Cricetulus griseus: one gene and its partner. Each later gene encodes a partner of the first gene's protein in a complex. Links are inferred from orthologs where the notes say so. Each region holds a gene or a part of one and is shown on either strand. Other genes may lie near its edges.

What was found.
Region 2: the proteins of Ckb (region 1) and Asb9 are in contact, whole or in part, in a cryo-EM structure (PDB 6V9H), measured with the Homo sapiens proteins. The link is inferred for Cricetulus griseus from reciprocal best matches to the Homo sapiens genes CKB and ASB9. Residues at the interface, in NP_001814.2 of Homo sapiens: Asn63, Pro64, Gly65, His66, Pro67, Tyr68, Ile69, Thr71, Arg130, Arg132, His191, Val198, Ser199, Pro200, Leu201, Leu202, Leu226, Trp228, Glu232, Ile238, Met240, Asn286, Arg292, Gly303, Lys304, His305, Glu306, Lys319, Arg320, Gly321; in NP_001026909.1 of Homo sapiens: Leu25, Asn27, Pro28, Leu29, Met30, Gly31, Asp32, Ala33, Val34, Ser35, Asp36, Trp37, Pro39, Glu42, Ile45, His46, Trp60, Ala67, Asp68, His69, Glu75, Ala100, Asp101, Trp102, Val111, Asp133, Leu134, Ser165, His166.

What each region holds. Positions count from the first base shown.
Region 1 is NC_048598.1:182,359,462-182,363,931, forward strand, and holds the start of Ckb (creatine kinase B-type), read left to right. Parts: upstream 1-1,647; 5' UTR 1,648-1,728; intron 1,729-1,990; 5' UTR 1,991-2,017; coding exon 2,018-2,210; intron 2,211-2,396; coding exon 2,397-2,551; intron 2,552-2,627; coding exon 2,628-2,760; intron 2,761-2,919; coding exon 2,920-3,091; intron 3,092-3,884; coding exon 3,885-4,008; intron 4,009-4,132; coding exon 4,133-4,322; intron 4,323-4,404; coding exon 4,405-4,470. UniProt on the Homo sapiens protein: Reversibly catalyzes the transfer of phosphate between ATP and various phosphogens (e.g. creatine phosphate).
Region 2 is NC_048604.1:99,600,945-99,605,245, forward strand, and holds the start of Asb9 (ankyrin repeat and SOCS box protein 9), read left to right. Parts: upstream 1-1,251; 5' UTR 1,252-1,372; coding exon 1,373-1,454; intron 1,455-4,301. UniProt on the Homo sapiens protein: Substrate-recognition component of a cullin-5-RING E3 ubiquitin-protein ligase complex (ECS complex, also named CRL5 complex), which mediates the ubiquitination and subsequent proteasomal degradation of target proteins.

The DNA of each region.
Region 1 (4,470 bases):
GGAGCTGAGACAGGAGAAGCCTGGTTTGCAGGCTCTTGTCTCAAAACAGAAGCGGTCCAAGCTGGCCAAGGCGAGTGAGAGAACAGGTGGAGTCCCCGAGTGGCTCTGAGGAGAGAGTACAGCCCCACCGCAGCTTGGCTTTCCACGCTTGCCCAGACAGAGGCGGGCAGGGCCGCGAGTTCTTTGCTCCAGAGCCTTCTGCTGAAGCACCTGCACATTCTCTCAAGCCTGGAATTCCCTCATCCCTCCCTCATTCCTCATTTGCTCGGGGCAGCCCGCCTCCAGCAGAAAGGCAGTGATCCTGTGCCCCGTGCGCATTGCATCTGGGTACCTGGGCTGGCTCATTGTGAAAGGAGCGAGGAATTCTGTCAAACAAATGCATCAGGATAAGAAGTTCTCTGGTTCTTGCTTTATTTGTGCAGCCGCGAGTGAGTGAGGGCTCACTCGCCCCATAAAGCCCCATAAAGCTCACGTCTGCTGTCTGCTTTTTACCCACGGCACCATCCACCACCATTCTGCGCCCTTTCTACCAACGGCCAGTGTCCTCCCCATCTCACAGATGAGCTTCAGGTCCCATGCGACCGTCTCTCTCCCACTGCACATTTACAGATCTGTTGGCAGAGAAGGGACACTGTCCTTTCTACAGGCTGGATTCCTAGAATTCCTGCGATTGTTAGGTCATGGAGTTAGACCATTTTTTTATTTTAATAAATACTGCCAAATTACTTTCCAGAAAAGATGGAGTGGCTGGCAGCTGCAGGCGGGGTGCAAACGCCTGTCTTCACACATTCCAATTTACAGTTGGCACTGTCTGGGGTCAGTCTTCTACAATTTCCCACACCTGGGTGTGTGGGGCTGGGGGACAGAGACTGTTTGAGCGTGCTGGTACCCAATGGCGAGCTTAGTTTTGGCTGATGCTTTCTCCACTCCCAGTTTGCCTGCTGACTGTAGGTGCTGTCTTTGTGGGTGGAGTGGTAGGAACCGCTCCCTGAGGAAAGGGCCAGGGAATGGAGGTTTGGATACTCGAAAACAGCCCCTCAGAGCTCACTGACTTGAATCTTTCAGGGTTTGGGTCCAAGGGTGTTGGCTCGGTTCCTTAGATCCCGCCCAATGTCAGAACACCCTGGGTGCTTCGGGGCTGGACCACAGCCAGACTGCGCCTCTGGTGCTGCACAAAGAACACCCAGGAGATGCCCGCGGGCACCTTGAGGAAGGTCAGTGGCTCTGTGCCATTTCGTACGGCCTGGATGCAGTGGGTGGACACCGGTCCCTAATGTTAAAGACCTGGAAGCCCTCAACAGGCCCCCTAGCCACCGCGGTCTGCCAGACAAGGCAGGAGGAGGGGAAGGCAGGAGCCCCAGTACCAGCTGGCTTTCCAGACTCAGTTTCCCGCCCCGAGGCAGTGTGTATGAGGAAGGTCCAGGATAGTAAGGGATTGGGCCTTCGTTATCCTGTGCCAGCGCCGCGGGGATAGCTTAGCTGCCCGGGGTCCAGACTCGGGGATCGCTGGGGTGGGCGGCTAGGGGATATCGAGGGCTGCTGCCAGGGACAAAGCAGCGGCACCACCCCAAAGCGCGGGCCAATGGAATGAATGGGCTATAAATAGCCGCCAATGGGCGGCTGGCGACGCGCTCCTTAAGAGCTCCGGAGCAGCGAGCCGCCGCTGTTCGTCCGCGCTGCGCCAGGAGCTGCCCAGGCACACTGCGCCCCGCTCCGTCCGGCATCCCGGTGAGCGGGTCCCAGGGTCAGGGGGGGCCGCGCGGGGCGTCACGCGGAGGGGTGCGGGACCGGGGCGTCCTTCGCGGCCGCACTGCGCGGGGCGCGCACCGCACCCACAGGGGACTGGGGATGCGCAGGCGACGGGCGCAGAGGATGCGGAGCCCGCTGACCTTGGCGGCGCCCGGGGGAAGCCTCGGGGGTCCCGAGCGACCTGCAGGTCCCCGGGGGCCGGCGGTGCGCACAGCTCCCCTGACCCTGCGCTTCCCCGCAGCCCGCCGCCGCCGCCGCCGCCGCCGCCATGCCTTTCTCCAACAGCCACAACACCCAGAAGCTGCGCTTCCCGGCCGAGGATGAATTCCCCGATCTGAGCAGCCACAACAACCATATGGCCAAGGTGCTGACCCCCGAGCTGTACGCCGAGCTCCGTGCCAAGTGCACACCGAGCGGCTTCACGTTGGACGACGCCATTCAGACCGGCGTGGACAATCCGGGTATGCGCACCCCTGTGAGCGTCAGGCTCGCGTCTCCCCGACAAACCCCCAGGACGAGGGTCCCCCTGCCCTTCCCGCAACCTCCGGCGGGCTGGGGTCCGGTCTTCCCCCTTCCCGCGCTGCAGAGGCCTCAGCAGCTCGCTCCAGCCTGGCGGTGACGTCAGTGTCGCCGCGCCCCTCCCCCAGGCCACCCGTACATCATGACCGTGGGTGCGGTGGCGGGCGACGAGGAGACTTACGACGTGTTCAAGGACCTCTTCGACCCCATCATTGAGGACCGGCACGGCGGCTACCAGCCCAGCGATGAGCACAAGACCGACCTGAACCCCGAGAACCTGCAGGTGAGGGGCGGCCGGGCCGGGCCGGGCCGGGGAAGGGGGCTGGGCGCTCACTGCCGCCACCACTGTGTGTCCCCAGGGCGGCGATGACCTGGACCCCAACTACGTGCTGAGCTCGCGGGTGCGCACGGGCCGCAGCATCCGCGGCTTCTGTCTGCCCCCGCACTGCAGCCGCGGGGAGCGCCGCGCCATCGAGAAGCTGGCGGTGGAAGGTAGGGTCCGGTCGGGTCGGGTCGGGTGTCACCGGCGCGCGTCTCCCCGGGGCACGGGCAGGGTCCCGGGTCCAGCCTCCAGCGGGGGCACTCGCTGCCTGCGGAGCGGCGGCGGGGGGCTCGCTCGCCCACCGGGGCCTTGAACTCTGCACCCCGCAGCCCTGTCCAGCCTGGACGGAGACCTGTCCGGCAGGTACTACGCGCTCAAGAGCATGACCGAGGCCGAGCAGCAGCAGCTCATTGACGACCACTTCCTCTTCGACAAGCCCGTGTCGCCGCTGCTGCTGGCCTCTGGCATGGCCCGCGACTGGCCGGATGCTCGCGGCATATGGTACGAGCCCTCCCCGCCTCAGCCCTCGGAGGGTGGGGTCAGGCCGGCGCTCCTGGTCCCCTGCCGCGTCAGCCTGTCCCAGCCCTCGGCAGGTGACCTTGGTCCCGCAGGTGTGACATGCCTGCGCTGCGGGAGGCCGCAGTCTCCAGGGACTCAAGGGTGGGGACCGGTCTCCCGGGAGCCGGCGCTTCTTGTTTTCTCTGCTCCTTCTCACTCCCGACCCGCAGGGACTCTGCCAGGCGCCGGTGACGCAAAAGCCTCCGCACCCGTCCCTCCGTCCCCGCTGGGCTCCTACCCCTGCGGACTGTGAGGGCGGAGGTGTGGAGGTGTGCTTCCTCCGCTGGGGTGGGCTGCTCCCCTGCTCAGCCCCTTGCAGCCACACACCGCGCGATTGGTGACTGGGGTGTGTGAGTGAGTGTGAGATTGATTGGTGACTGGGGTGTGCGTGTGAGTGTGAGATTGATTGGTGACTGGGGTGTGCGTGTGAGTGTGAGATTGATTGGTGACTGGGGTGTGTGAGTGAGTGTGAGATTGATTGGTGACTGGGGTGTGAGTGTGAGATTGATTGGTGACTGGGGTGTGTGTGTGTGTGTGGTTCCCCGCTCGCCCTGCCTTCCTCCAGTGTGGGCTTACTTGGGAGTGAGTCTTGTGACAGCCACACTCGCTAGAATAAGCACCTCCATGACTTGGGAAGCTCTTTGTTTGAGGTCACCTACCTACGGTGTCTTTGGGTGAGATCTAAGACCGTACTGGGGGGGGGGAGCGCTTTGGCTTGACTGTACCCCTCCCCTAGGCACAATGATAACAAGACTTTCCTGGTGTGGATCAACGAGGAGGACCACCTGCGGGTCATCTCCATGCAGAAGGGGGGCAACATGAAGGAAGTGTTCACCCGATTCTGCACTGGCCTCACCCAGGTCACTCTGAGGGCTTGGTGCCGGGGAGGGGTCGGGGCAGATCCCAGAGTCCACGTCTCCCTCCCGGGGTCCCTGAGGGCTTCCAGCCAGGCTTCCCTCCGAACTCTGCCTTCTCCACCTCCAGATCGAAAATCTCTTCAAGTCTAAGAACTACGAGTTCATGTGGAACCCTCACCTGGGCTACATCCTCACGTGCCCATCCAACCTGGGCACCGGGCTGCGGGCCGGCGTGCACATCAAGCTGCCCCACCTGGGCAAGCACGAGAAGTTCTCGGAGGTGCTCAAGCGGCTGCGGCTTCAGAAGCGAGGCACAGGTGAGGGGCCGTCGTCACAGGTGCGGGCAGAAGGTTCGGGTTTCCTCAGTCCTGCCCACCTGCCTGTCCTCTGTCCCCCCAGGTGGTGTGGACACCGCCGCAGTCGGCGGAGTTTTCGACGTCTCCAACTCGGACCGCCTGGGCTTCT
Region 2 (4,301 bases), on another chromosome or scaffold:
ATAAGGTAGTCTCCTCAACCTGCAAGAGAGGGAAAGTGGGAGTCTTTCCTGAGCAAGTGACTTACGGCATTATCATTTCATGGTGCAGGGGAATGTCATGGATGTTGAATAGACAAGGGACAGGAAAAGCAGCAAACTCACACAGCTTCCTTTCAAACCTGTAATTGCCTGGAAACAGCACCCCAGACTATGGTGGAGAATTGAAACTGAAAAGCCACCTAGATTGAAAGTCTAAACCCTCATGTGGACAAACTGAGGGCACCTTAACAAAGCAGCGCTCTTACCAACTGGCAATTGAAAGATAGTGGGTCTCTTTGCACACCTGTGGTGACCCTGTGATCCATTTTTTTCTAACAGCAATCAGCCAGCAGTTATTTACAAGTAGAATCAAAACGTGTACAAGAAGGGCAAAATAGGGCATGGAATGAACTTGCAGCCCCCAAAGAGGAAAACAAGTTCTTTCAATCCCCCTCCACTATCCCTTGCATTTTTGTAACATACAGACACATTTTTCCATAATACACTCCCAGCAAAATTGAAACCACATGTGCAGATGGCCAGTCTGGGCTGTGCATGTTCCTTTGCAAGCCGTTCCTGTGAGCTGCTGCAAAAGCGGCTTTCTCGGCTCCTGGATGCTGGGGCTTGTCTGAGATGCCCCTAAGTAGCAAACAAACCCCTTCCTACACAACAGCCCAGCTCCCTTCATTTTCCAAAAGTTACAAAGTGTATATTTCCTTCCTGATAAACTCGAAAGCTTGCTCCCTGATTGGTCTCAGTTTAGGAAAGGGCATGACATCAGCAACTTTGCAGACTTCAGGCCTGGGGGGCTGTTGTGGACTTTGGACGCTCTCCAGTCTGCTAGTTGGAGTGTATGTGTGTGCACGCTTGTGTGTTTGTGTGTGTGTGTGTGTGTGTGTGTGTGTGTGTGTGTGTGTGGTGTGTGTGTGTGTGTGTGTGTGTGTGTGTGTGTGTGTGTGTGTGTGTGTGTGTGTGTGTGTCTGAGGATCTGTTTGGCCACAGGTAGTACTCACATTACCCTGCCTGTGCTCTTCTCTGGTGGACGCTCTCCAGTCTGCTAGTTGGAGTGTATGTGTGTGCACGCTTGTGTGGTGTGTTGAGTGTGTGTGTGTGTGTGTGTGTGTGTGTGTGTGTGTGTGTGTGTGTGTGTGTGTGTGTCTGAGGATCTGTTTGGCCACAGGTAGCACTCACATTACCCTGCCTGTGCTCTTCTCTGCTGCAGGCTGCCTGGACCAGGACGCGTGCTGTTCAGCCAGCCACAGAACTGGAATTTCCCAGGGGCAACAGGAACATGGTATTCGGGTTTTTCTGAGCAACCGAAGTGGAACATAGTTTCCTGACCCATTACAGTACAATGGACGGTGGACGAAGGAGCAGGCTTCAGAGGCTAGGAGGCTGCCCTCATCTCAGATTCCTTTCAAATCCGTTGATGGGGGGTGAGTCATAGACAATGTGACATCAGAGTGCTGGGGAGGGTGGTTAGTGTGCTCAAGAGAGAAAAAAAATAGCTGGGCTATATCAGTGGGTCTTTCTGTGGGTTATCCATAGGGTAGCTAACTGGACAGACATCTGCTCATAGGTATTCTAGTCTGAATTCCTTAAGTGGTTATTTAAAAATATACCTTTATCTGTAGAGTCATAAAAAATGAAATAAATTTTAATTATCACAGGGCATTTTCTAGTGGTGAAAACTTTTGCTCCAAGGAATCATTTTTTGTGGGTCAGATATATTACTTATTAAATAGGAGGTTTAAGAGTTACTTATTAATAGCAGTGTTTTGGTCTCCTGTGTAGTCCAGGTTGGCCTTAAACTCATTATCCTCTTGTCTCAGCCTCTGAGATGCTGAGATTATAGGTGTGTGTTTGTGTGTGTGTGTGTGTGTGTGTGTGTGTGTGTGTGTGTACATGCTTGTATATGTGCACCAACCCACTAGGTCTTATAAGAACATTCTCGAAGCTATTTTGTATTTGGTGAAGCCAGGCTTGTCAAGGATGTTGGCTGGTTGATTGACTTTAGAAATATTTTTTAAAAGCTGCAAAGGTTTCCCACAGGTATGAATTGTCCCTGTTGGGTGATACATTGGCTAATGTAGGGTCTCATGCATTCTCTCACTGCCACTCTCCTATAAACATCCAGCAGGTTCCAGATGAAGGAATTCTGGGCCTAAGCATTCAAGGAGACAGTATTACATTCAGCACACTTGGTAGGCTGCCCATAACATTTGTCTATTAGAAGGACAATAAACAGGAGTTCTAAAGTCCCTTAGGACTTAATAATGTCTTTCTGTACAGGTATGTAAGTGGAAAACTATAGAAAGTAGACAATACAAAATCCATTTCATCTCTGATTGAGGAGACAGGCTTGCACATCATCCCCCCATTGACATGGTTTTCCTTGCAAACTATGCGGAGTCCTCAATTATAAGCAGGGCTTCCATATACAAAGTCAGAACTGAATTTATCAGTATGTATGGAGCACAGATTAGGAATAGTAGGAAGTTAGAGTGGCCTTGAGACTCATTCTCAAAATAGGGTTTGATGAGTATTTTTAAAGCACCAATACAATCATTGTTGGAAATGAAGAATTCCGAGGTGTTCTCAACAGTCACTTTACAGCAAAGTCTTCTGTTTTTATTTTTGTTTGTATGTGGAGAGAGGAAATAGCCATTTTCTCCTGGAGGTTTTGCTGCTTAGAAAGTGGACAGCTTGTTCAAACTAGGATGGAGAGTATCTTGGAGTCAATTTAGTCAATTTGGAGAGGCAGAACTGGATGATGGAGCTTGTTCATGCATGCACGTGTGTGCACACATGGAAGTGAGTGCATGCATTGATATTTGAGTGTGAAGGTGGAGGCCAGAGGTCAACACTGGGTATCTTTCTCTACTGCTCTCTACCTTGTTTTGTGAGACAGGGTCTATTTCTCACTGGATCTGAGTATTATGTTTCGGCAAGACTTGATGGCCAATGAGTCCCCAGGATGTGCTTTTTATGCTCCTCTAGCACTGGGGACAAATGTGTATACTCCCATGCTTGGCTTTTTACATGGATTTTGGGCATCTGAACTCATATCCTTATCAGGCACTTTATTCACTGAGTCATCTCCACTGCCACTGGATGATAAAGCTTTTGAAGCTATGACAGGGTTAGGCTTTGTGGGTTGGAAACTGGAATTCATTGATGGCTCTGGAGCAGAGCGATGGCAATAATGAAGACTATTGAGTAGATTTATATAGTACTCCCAGTTAGGATAGATCATGGTGACACACAGAACATGCTGAACTAATCCACTTGTTCTCCTATGCCTCAGCATCACCTAGGAGTTGTTAACATGGAGGTGATGCTGCTTCTGTGATAGTGACAGGACCGCGGTGAAGCCTGGATATCTTCATTGTCAACCAGGTCCTAAGTGGTGCAGACAGGAATTGTCAGGGACCACACTTTAAGAAACATCACACAAATCCATGTAGACAGCTGATACCTAGGTCAAACTTCAGAAATGATGGAGAGTGGGCTTCAATTCTGAAGGAAAGATCAATGGGATTGTGCTGCTTGATACAATATTGTGGCAAATTGATAGCATCCTAAGTTGTGAAGTTTTAAACCTCACATTAGGTTAAACTGAACTAGTTAAGAGGGAAATTGGAAAGGGTGATGGCTGAGGAGTAGAATAAGGAAGGGAGGATGCAGAATTCTCTCCCTCTAGCTCTGTTATATGTCCATGTATGTGCATGTGTGGGTATACATGAATATGTATGTAGGTATGTGTGAAGGTCAGAAGTCAATATTGTGTGTTGTCATTAATCCCTTGCCACCTAAATATTTTGAAGCAGGGACTCTCATTGCACTTGGAGCTTGCTGATTAAGTAAGTGTAGCTTGTTAGAGAGCTCCAGGGATCCTCCTCACAATTATCGCCTCACACTGGGATTACAGATGCATTGCCATAGCTGATTTTTTGGGGGGATGCGGTGGATCTGAACTCATGTCCTCATGCTTATGTGGCAAGCTTTTGAATAAATTGAATTTCTTGCTAGCTCTCCAGAGTTCTATTTTGGACATAAAAGTATGAATAATATTGCCGAACCCACATAGCCTGATGATATGGGGCTAAGGTAGGAGATGAATACAGGTTGTGTGTGAGAAGCCTCAGAGTGTTTTTCAGAGGGCTTGTGGTTGCAACCCAGTGAAAGGAGAAATTTTTCAATGGCTAAGAACTGGCACTTGGGGACAGCAAAGATGTGAAAGCAGTAAGCTGGACAGAAAAAGAGAAAGGGATTTCTGATGT